2 linked regions of the Arabidopsis thaliana genome follow. The protein of the gene in region 1 interacts with the protein of each later gene in a pairwise test. Each region holds a gene or a part of one and is shown on either strand. Other genes may lie near its edges.

The links.
Region 2: the proteins of CKA2 (region 1) and AT3G03773 interact in a protein complementation assay, tested with the Arabidopsis thaliana proteins (one study listed by BioGRID).

The regions. Positions count from the first base shown.
Region 1 is NC_003074.8:18,532,883-18,537,618, reverse strand, and holds CKA2 (casein kinase II, alpha chain 2), read right to left. Parts: upstream 3,170-4,736; 5' UTR 3,133-3,169; coding exon 2,837-3,132; intron 2,615-2,836; coding exon 2,485-2,614; intron 2,352-2,484; coding exon 2,157-2,351; intron 2,031-2,156; coding exon 1,873-2,030; intron 1,776-1,872; coding exon 1,685-1,775; intron 1,565-1,684; coding exon 1,499-1,564; intron 1,410-1,498; coding exon 1,327-1,409; intron 1,249-1,326; coding exon 1,185-1,248; intron 1,087-1,184; coding exon 1,018-1,086; intron 936-1,017; coding exon 876-935; 3' UTR 546-875; downstream 1-545. Other genes in the region: AT3G50010 (Cysteine/Histidine-rich C1 domain family protein), read left to right, coding at 1-371; AT3G49990 (Low temperature viability protein), read left to right, coding at 3,619-4,736. UniProt on the Arabidopsis thaliana protein: Casein kinases are operationally defined by their preferential utilization of acidic proteins such as caseins as substrates. The alpha chain contains the catalytic site.
Region 2 is NC_003074.8:949,656-954,374, forward strand, and holds AT3G03773 (HSP20-like chaperones superfamily protein), read left to right. Parts: upstream 1-1,972; coding exon 1,973-1,985; intron 1,986-2,119; coding exon 2,120-2,234; intron 2,235-2,579; coding exon 2,580-2,618; intron 2,619-2,732; coding exon 2,733-2,913; intron 2,914-3,054; coding exon 3,055-3,211; coding exon of another isoform or gene 3,212-3,222; exon of another isoform or gene 3,223-3,407; coding exon 3,408-3,436; intron 3,437-3,530; coding exon 3,531-3,576; intron 3,577-3,800; coding exon 3,801-3,835; 3' UTR 3,836-4,185; downstream 4,186-4,719. Other genes in the region: AT3G03776 (hydroxyproline-rich glycoprotein family protein), read right to left, coding at 4,489-4,719.

The DNA of each region.
Region 1 (4,736 bases):
ATAAGCATGTGCTCACTCTTTCTTATGGGGACAAGACAAGTACCATGACTTATTGGTGTGAAATTTGTGAGGAAAGATTAAATCCAAAGGAGCGGTTTTATAGTTGTGATGAGTATTGTTGTGTCACCATACACATTGAATGCTTGGTTGGGGTGGACTTCTACATGAAGCCCGGTTCAAAATGGTTCAACAAGTACGGTGCAGAGGTAAGTGTTCTGCCAAACAATCATCATATGTCTCGACCTTTTTGCTTTATTTGCAAGAAGCGTTGTCCACACAAAACATTTTTCCAGTGCAATGGTTTTGAATATTGTTCCAGATCATGTTTACTTACTAAAAGTAAAGAGGTGATCTACCTTGGTGGCCATTAGTCTTCCAAGTTATAAGAACTTTCATTTGTTGTATTGAAAGTAAAACACTGATATGTTTCGATATTGTTGTGATTTATCGTATTTTGCTTTGCATCTGTGTGATTTTTGAACGCTTGTTGTTTTTCATAATTTCATAACTACTGCTGGGGAACAATAAGTATAGATACAAGTTCAGTAAAATATCAATTTGGAAACATAACGTAGATCAAAATGATCAAAGACACATAATTGTGTACAAACAAGGCATGTGTGTGTAATCTGAGCCTCGTTACAAGTTACAACTTAGTCTAGATTCATATTGGTACTGTAAATAATTTTTTAAAGTGTCAAAAATCTCAAAACACAAACTTTTAAGAAACCGGAGGGAGTAATAAGAATTCTCATATTTATAAATCCATAATTTCGACATTATAAAAGAAATCCATATGGATATGAAAATGTATTAGTAAACAACAAAAGAGCACACTGGAGAAGAAGAAGAAACAAAAATCGGCCGAGACATCTCTATTGAGTCCTCATTCTGCTGCTTTCTGCTGCCCTGACTTGAGCGAAATAGGGATGAGCCTGTCATCAATTCATAAAACCATCACAATTTAGCAGACTATGAGAACGAAAACTTGTTTGAGTTACGTTATATGATACTTACCATTGCTTCTTTTGCAGTTAATCTGTCTTGATGATCATACCGGAGCAGCTTGTCCAAATAATCAATCGCCTACATTTAAAACAAAGTTACAGCTCGAGAGAGAAACCATGGCAACAAACAAAAGCGTTTGTGTTTCTTATAGAATACAGAGAACAAAGTAAACAAACCTCAGGTGAGACCAAATGCCTATTGTCAGCGTTGATGAATTTGGACCAAGGCTTCCTGCTATGTCTGTGGAAAGAGGATTGGTCATTGGCACTGCTTTAATCTACTCTTATACTATAGAGAGAATATGTGAGTTCTGCTTACCTCCCAACAAGTGCCTCTAGTTGAGTATCAAGTTCTAACTGATACTTATTCAGATATGCATTCAATTCATCAGTTCCGAGTACCTGAGTCAAGAATCAAACATACACTCTAAAGATGTGAAAAAACACTCAATCCCTCTAAAATTCCCACATTTACCCACGCATTTGATTACCTTGGCAATTTTGACGAGCTGATCCTGGTTGTCATGGCCATAGAAGAAAGGTTCCTTGCGGAATATCTACAAGAAAAGATAATTTAGACACTTCATCATTACGATACTATATTTTGGAAATTTTTTGAAAAGAATGATCATATATAAATGTAGCATTGGAAGCCTAGCATTTCGCAAGGTACTCACCATCCCAGCAAACATGCAACCGAGGCTCCACATGTCCAAGGAATAGTCATAGTCCTGTAAATCAACTAGAAGTTCGGGACCTTTGAAGTATCTGAGACAACATTTGATCAAGCTTAGATACTGATAACGACTAAATATTAAAAATGGATAGGAAACCAACTTATCTTGAAGGCGCCTATCATACATACCTTGAGGCCACACGGACGTTGTACTCTTTTCCAGGATGATAAAACTCAGCGAGACCCCAATCTATTAGGCGAAGTTTGCGCAGCTCATGGTCGATCATGACATTGTGTGGCTTGACATCTCTGTGCATTATTCCTTGTGAGTGGCAGAAGTCCAAAGCCTGCAGCATATCATAGGAAATTTGCAAGGTTATCACTGAACTAAATTTGTTGTGGAACCGAGAAAATTCCACAAATCAGAAGTCGTAATGAAATAATAAACTCTACATAAAATAAATTAAAATTACCTTCAACAGCTCATAGATGTAGTAGCGAATGTCATAATCAGTCAATGTTGGATACAGAACCTTAAAGTCTGTGCTGTTTACATACTCAAATATCAAGCTTGGCGTTTTTGAGTGTTGATCTCTGACAACATCAAGCAGCTTTACAATATTTGGCCCTCCACAAAGATTCTGAAGTATTTTAATCTCCCTTCTAATCTGTAAAAGGATCATACAAATTCAGAAAGGCAACCCAAAATCAAAACTAAGTAAAGACAAAACCTTTTGTAAAAGCAACACCATTCATTGCTATCAATCATAAGTCACCAATTGAAGTAATATAGACACTCACCTTCTTCTTCTTAACAGGCTTGAGAATCTTGATAATACACTTCTCATTGTTATTCATGTTAATCCCCTCAAAAACCTCACTGTATTTCCCTCTCCCCACCTTCCTCACTACCTCGTAATCATCTTGCTCCCTGACAACGAAACCCACATAAAAAAGCTCAAAACTTTAACAAAAGCATCATCACCCATCATGATCATAATCATAATAACCAACAAACTCTCCTCAAAACCAGATTAAAAACCAAGAACATCGCCAGCTAGACAAAAAGCTCAATTTCTACATTACAAGATCCAATTTTTTTAACTGATTAGCTTCCTAGGGTTTTCATAATTTTCGAAAAATACGATCTTACCCCCACTGAACATTGAGAGATTCGTAATCCCAATAATCCTTAGGTCGGATCACGTTAACATCGGTATAAACACGAGCTTTCGACATGACGGTGGAAAGAGAGATCTTGGCGAGAGAATCGGTATCGAGGCAACGATCGAACCTGATACCAGTAACGTCTGATTCAACGGTTCCGGTGTTGACGCACGTTAATGGTGGTATAAGAGAATGCGCCAACGGCGCACGTAAGATCAAGATGGCGCACAATAACAACAGGTACCGTCGAAGAAAGTAGGAGAAGAAGAAGATTAGGTGCATGTAACCATTCGGTGCACTCTCCCGCGGTGGATTATTTCTTTTAGTGGCATACACTGAGTTATGGAAATAAAACAAATATTTAATTTGACTTGTTGCCAAAAACGACGCGTTTTGGCTTGCTTAACACAAAAACGCAGCGTTTTGGTTAAACCCTAAAATGATGCGTTTTGGGTGGCTCTACCCTAAAACTAAAAATCTTCAACAGCGTTTTTGTTCTTCATCTGCATTGTTCTCCGCCTCTCTCTCTCAAACTCTTCAGGTAAGCTTCTTCAATTTCATTAAATTAGTGTTTTTGAATCGTTTCTAGACTTAAAGTTTCTCCCTTTTCGATGTTTTCGTGTTGATTGATGATAAAAATTTACATTTTATTAGTCAGGATTGAAACATAGTCTAGTTGATTGCTGTGACTTAGAAGTTAGACATCTTATATCTTCGTAATTGTTTTACAGTTTGCAAAACCCTTAAGAAGGTGTGAATTAGTAAGTAATGGGGAAGAAGAAGTTTATTGATAAGAAAAAGGCGGCGACTTTCGAGTTGTGTCCTCGTGATACGTCAGACCCAAGATACAGTGATGCACCAGGTGGTGATAAGATCTTCTTACGAGTTGATCAAAACCCTGTTAACATCAATGGTTTCATTGAAGAAGATGAAGAAGAAGAAGGAGACAGCTCACGGTTTGATGATGCTCCTGAAGAGATGGATTATGGTTACTCTAGTTTTGGGGATTCGAGTAGTTCTTTACCTGCTCATGTGAGGAAGGAGATTTTAGAGTTAGGGTATCCTGATGATGGTTATAATTACTTGGAGCATTTGAGAGAGATTAAGAATACTGGTGGTGGTTCTAATTTCTATGTGAATCCTAAGTATGAGGTTGCTCAGTTACCTCGTGATGTTAAGGCTTATGATGCGTCTCGTGTGAAGATCTCTGGTATGGTGAATGAAGAAGGTAATGATAATAAGTTGATGTATAGTGTTGCGTCCAAGACTGTTAACGTCAAGGTGCAGAAAGCTATTGATCCTGAAGTTGCTGCGTTGCTTGAAAACAGTGATGGGTCTGAGTTTGGTTCTGATGTTGAGGATTTGGAAGAAGATTTTGTTGTTCAAGCTAATCTTACTCAAAAGGGTGAATCTTCTGGTGTGAGCAATGGAGAGCTCGAGTTTTCTGTAAGACGTGAGGTTAGAGAAAGAGAAAGTGATGAACCTGTGGCTGAAAACCCGAGAGTTCCTCGTCAAATTGATGAGCTATTTGATCAGCTCGAACTCAATGAATATGGAAGTGATAGTGACGGTGATGGTTACATAGCTGAAGATGGAGAAGAAGAAGAAGAAGAAGACTTCATGGCTCAAGAAGTTCAGAATCTTATTCATGGGAAGGCAAAAGATTATGAGCTTGAAGAAAAATATATGAACCCTGCGGATATACTGAAGAACAGTGACTCTGTCAGAGATAAAGAGGAAGTGGACACTGCTGCTCATGTTATCCGCCGAACTGTAGAATATGGTGAAAATTTTGATAACGGGAATGAAGATGAATTTGTAGAGCTGACTGAAGAAAGCAGCGATGAAAGCGAGAAGCATGATTGTGAAACCATAGTCTCAACATA
Region 2 (4,719 bases), about 18 Mb from region 1:
TTAGGGGGATGATCTACAAATACGAGTCTGAGGCAAACAAGTCTTTATATAGTATAGATTTAATTTTGATATTTTTTTAAAGTTTCTTATATGAATATTAATTTGATTGAGAAAAGTCTGTCTATCAATTAATTGGGTATGCTAAGTTAAACAAGATTAATCAAGAATGAGTAAACAAAACCAAGTAAATTAGTGTAACTCTAATTTTGTTTTGAATTTTGATCATGTAAGAAAGCTGAAAACAAACTAAACATAAAAACCACAACAACTACACCGGAATTTTATCAAAAACTAGGCTTAAAACCAAACTGAAAGAAAAAAAAAAGATCCATCCAAAAACTTAAATCTGAAAGAGGTAATATATATATTTAAGGTGAAAATAAAAAGAAAGCGAAGTTGTGACACATACTGTAATGTAAGCTTTCGCACGAAGGCATCTCCATCAGAAAGGTCACACCAGACTTTTAAAGTGACACATGTAGGTCCCAATCTTCTCCGACCTTTTCAAAGTTCAAGAAAACAATCTTAATACAACAAATTAGCTCACATATAATATGATCAATAAAGAATAACATGCAAGGAATTGGAAATCAAATTAACAAACAATTTAAACTAAACTCGTGTATTTAATCATATTAAATTGAAACTAAGGCATGATGTCTTAATCTCTTGACTACTCTCACGTGCCATGAGTGATTCATCTTTTTATTAATCTTGTAGTTTTTTTTAATATGATTCATAGTTGCAGGTATAAGAAAACAAGTAAAGTAAATGCTTACAAACATAAGAAAACAAAATTCTGTGAAATTTTAGTCCACCTGGTTTTATATAAGCATCTTCTTCTGTTAGATTTTTCTGTGCATCGTTTAGGAATAAATATTTAATTTTAATTTATCTTATTTTTTTCCTTCATTTTGCGTGTTTCATTTTTTGGTTAGTTTTGTTTTGTATCTGTTGGTTGCATGTCTCAATAGTCAATGTCGTCGTATACAATCATAGTTTAAATAAAACTAAAAATTGTTGGTGCAGCTTATAATCGACTAGCCAACTTTAAACAATACGAAATAGAACGTGGTAATTTCCAATTTCGATTTCTTTTTCCTTAACAAAAAAAGATTGATCTTTAATTTGGTAGACGAAAAGAAAATTAATAACGGCTAGAAATACATTTATACGACTATTTTAACTGGTAGTGAAAATTGATCGACTGGCAACTATAAAATTAATATATTATGAAAATTTATTGGCTAAGTGAAGTAATTTGAGATTATTTCATAGAAATACATTTATACGACTATTTTATGTTTTTTTCTTGATTACTATCATGCATTCATATGTTACATTATTCTGTTTTTATCACATAAATATATATACACTACATTAAAGTGATTTGTAGAAAGCGAAAGCAAATACTTAATTAAGACGTACGTTAGAGCCTAGAGGAGTGTGTGTGTGTGTGTCATTTTCGTCTTGCGGTGTAATAAATTAGGTTAGATGGTTTGTTCAACATTAAGATTTATTGTGGTTTTTGTTAGGTATGTCGTAATTGTGAAGTGATCATTTGCTAATTTATCAACCGCATCCTCAAACTAATCCTTTAATTTTATTCGACTTTAGAATTCATTAAGAATAGTAATATCTTAATATGTCAAAATTTGACGATGCCATATAGACAAGTTTGAATAAATTTAGTGTTATATAATGCAATCAACGTAAAGGAATTTTATTTATACACATCTCGTGACCAATTTTTCTTTTACTTATCTGTGTAGTTGTAAGTGTTATGCAAGTAGCATGTGTGATGTGTCATCATTGATCTATGATTTGTAACAAACTATGACACATGTTGTCTTTTCATTTCATTTATCCCTATTTTTCCATTTTGCTCTTGTTTTTACTTTATAGTAACTAGCTTAAATTATTATTATTGCAAAATGCCAAATTGTGAAATAAAATCTCTAATTGTGGCCGAATGTGTGATAGGTGTAAGTTTTATGGTTTTTTAATAAACTCGTGAAGTTATGGGTCTTTGTGGAATATTCTAAAACTATTGGGGCCCAATGTGTAAATATTTTCTATTCACCTTCTTCACTCTAAGAATCGTTTTTACCTAAGACAGATCGTTTCAAAGGTTTCAACATTTGTCTCTTGAAATCGATCGCCGTTTTTCTCCATCCTCCGTTCATAATTCCGGCACCGTTTATCCAAAATCTACACTTGGCTGAAAACATGAGGTAGCTGTTCGATTTCTAGGTTTTTTTGAAAAAGTATAATCTCGAATTCGATTTGTGTGTATGTTTGCTTAACTCACAAAAAGGTTTTGCGTGATTTGTGAGCTGAGTTTGACTTCCTCGTCACATTTTCTCTAACCAGACTATATAAAGCCCTTACCTTTAAGTTCTTTTACTAAAGGGGTTTTCATTAGTTATATAGCCTTATAGAGAGTAGTGTTCTTTGTGATGATGAGAGACTTGTTTGCACAGATCTTACAACTTTTCTTTACTTGTGATGATGATTGGCTTCAGCAGCATTCATGTTTACAATCTATATAAGCATTGGCTTTTGTTTTACTTGTGAAGTTCAAAATTGAGAATCTTTGTGATTGATATTCGTATGATGTAACAAGTTAGTCGTAATCTTCTGTTACGGTTGTGTGATTGAGGTAGTATGTTGCACAAAGTCCGCTGAGTAGAGTAACATCGTATTATATTGTTGTTTCACCTTGTGTGCAGTCGTAATCCGGAGGTTCTTTGGGCTCAGCGTTCTGATAAAGTTTACCTAACTGTCGCCTTACCTGATGCGAAGGACATTTCGGTGAAGTGTGAGCCTCAGGGTCTATTCAGTTTCTCTGCTCTTGGTGCCCAAGGCGAGCGCTTTGAATTCAGCTTGGAGTTATATGGGAAGATTATGACAGTAAGTACCATTTCTTCCTTTAAATGATAAGAACTAGCAGCAACTGTAAAGTATCAAGTGGAAAGTAACCATTGCATCTCTAAATCGATAAGTATCCACATATACTTCTTATAACAAATCTATGTAATATGTATGATGCAGGAATATCGGAAGAATGTAGGACTAAGGAACATCATATTTTCAATTCAGAAAGAAGAGAGAAGCTGGTGGACACGACTGCTGAAATCGGAAGAGAAACCTGCACCTTACATCAAAGTCGACTGGAATAAATGGTGTGATGAGGATGAGGAGGTCAACTGTAAGTCGTAAAAATATATGTTACAAGCCAAAGTTCTCTTTTCAGTTCAATCTCTAGATGATAATCGAAAATCTTCTCATATTACATGCTTGATTAAGTAAACCTTGTTTGAAAAGACATAGGAAAATCACAAGTATTCTGATCTCTATATGATAATTTGTTTCTAACGTTAGACTCTTTTTCGTTTCTGTTTCAGCTGAAACAGCCTCTGATGATGAGAGTGCAGTAAGTGTTTTCTCATAATCGCCTAATGTATATCTTTCTATTGTTGTTTAGTAAAGCCACCCTGTTTGATTATTTTCCCTCTTTATTTTCATAGTTTGTTAATCAAGATAGTGAAAGCAGCGATGACGATGGATTGCTCTGTAAGTTTCAAGAATCTTTATCTTCTTATAGCAATGATTACGTACATTTCACATATTATATCTATGTATACCTGCAAGTAGAGATTAAGTGAAGATTGATGGATTATTGTGTTAAAGGCCAAAGTATTAGTAGCAAACTATTCTGTGATTCAGTTCTGGTTAGTGCCAAATATAAATCTGAACTTGTCTGTACTGATCTTACTAATAACATTATATTTGGTCAGATCTTCCTGATCTGGAAAAGGCAAGAAACAAGTAGCTTAACCGCAACAACAACCAACCAACCAACTCTGGAAGATGAAGAAAAAGTAAAAGACTACGAGCTGAAACATAGTGCTTTAGGATGATCCGGTTTGTTCTGTACCTGACTAAACCGACCACCTATCTCTTCCGGTTTACTCAGGTTTACCTCTGATTTAGGTTTCGTAGGGTAATCAGCATTAGTTGTCTCTGATGTAGTTTGGCTTTTTTTTCTGTTATGGTTGGTTCACAAGTTAGGGTTCGGTATGTGAATTCTACCGAGAGTAGGAACTTATAAAGTAATGTAAGGGTTGAACTCTAATAGACTAATACCGTTGAATGACTATGTCTTTTTCAATGGTTCGGATACTTTATCGTCTTTAGCATGTGATGTCGCCGTGAATTGATCATCCGACGAAGAAGAAGATGCAGGGATTATTTCAGACCAAACTTAAAAGCTTCTGATACAACAAGAATCCTAGACTGTATAACAAAACAAAACTTTTTCTGAGAAGTCTGCGTGTGTTACTTTAGGAGAATCTCAAATATCCAGTTTGGAATATTTTGTTTGAAATCATAATAAGATCCTTAATAAACATAAATCTTTCTCATGATCCACAAACAGACATCAACGAATGAAAAAAGGACAACATCGTGCAACACTAAAAGTTTTCACATTATCCGGCATAGTTGCAAATCTCCCATCGTAAAGTTTTTAGGCGGAGCTGGTGTAGGCGGGAAACTCTTAGCCACCGGTTCTTTCTGATGGAATTTGTACGGTGGTGGTGCTGGTGGCTGCGGATGGACCTGACGTGGATACGGTGGTGGTGGTGGGGGACATATAGTGGGATTGTATAGTTGAGGTTGATTCATCCAATAATCCGGCAGATGATAGTTTGAGAA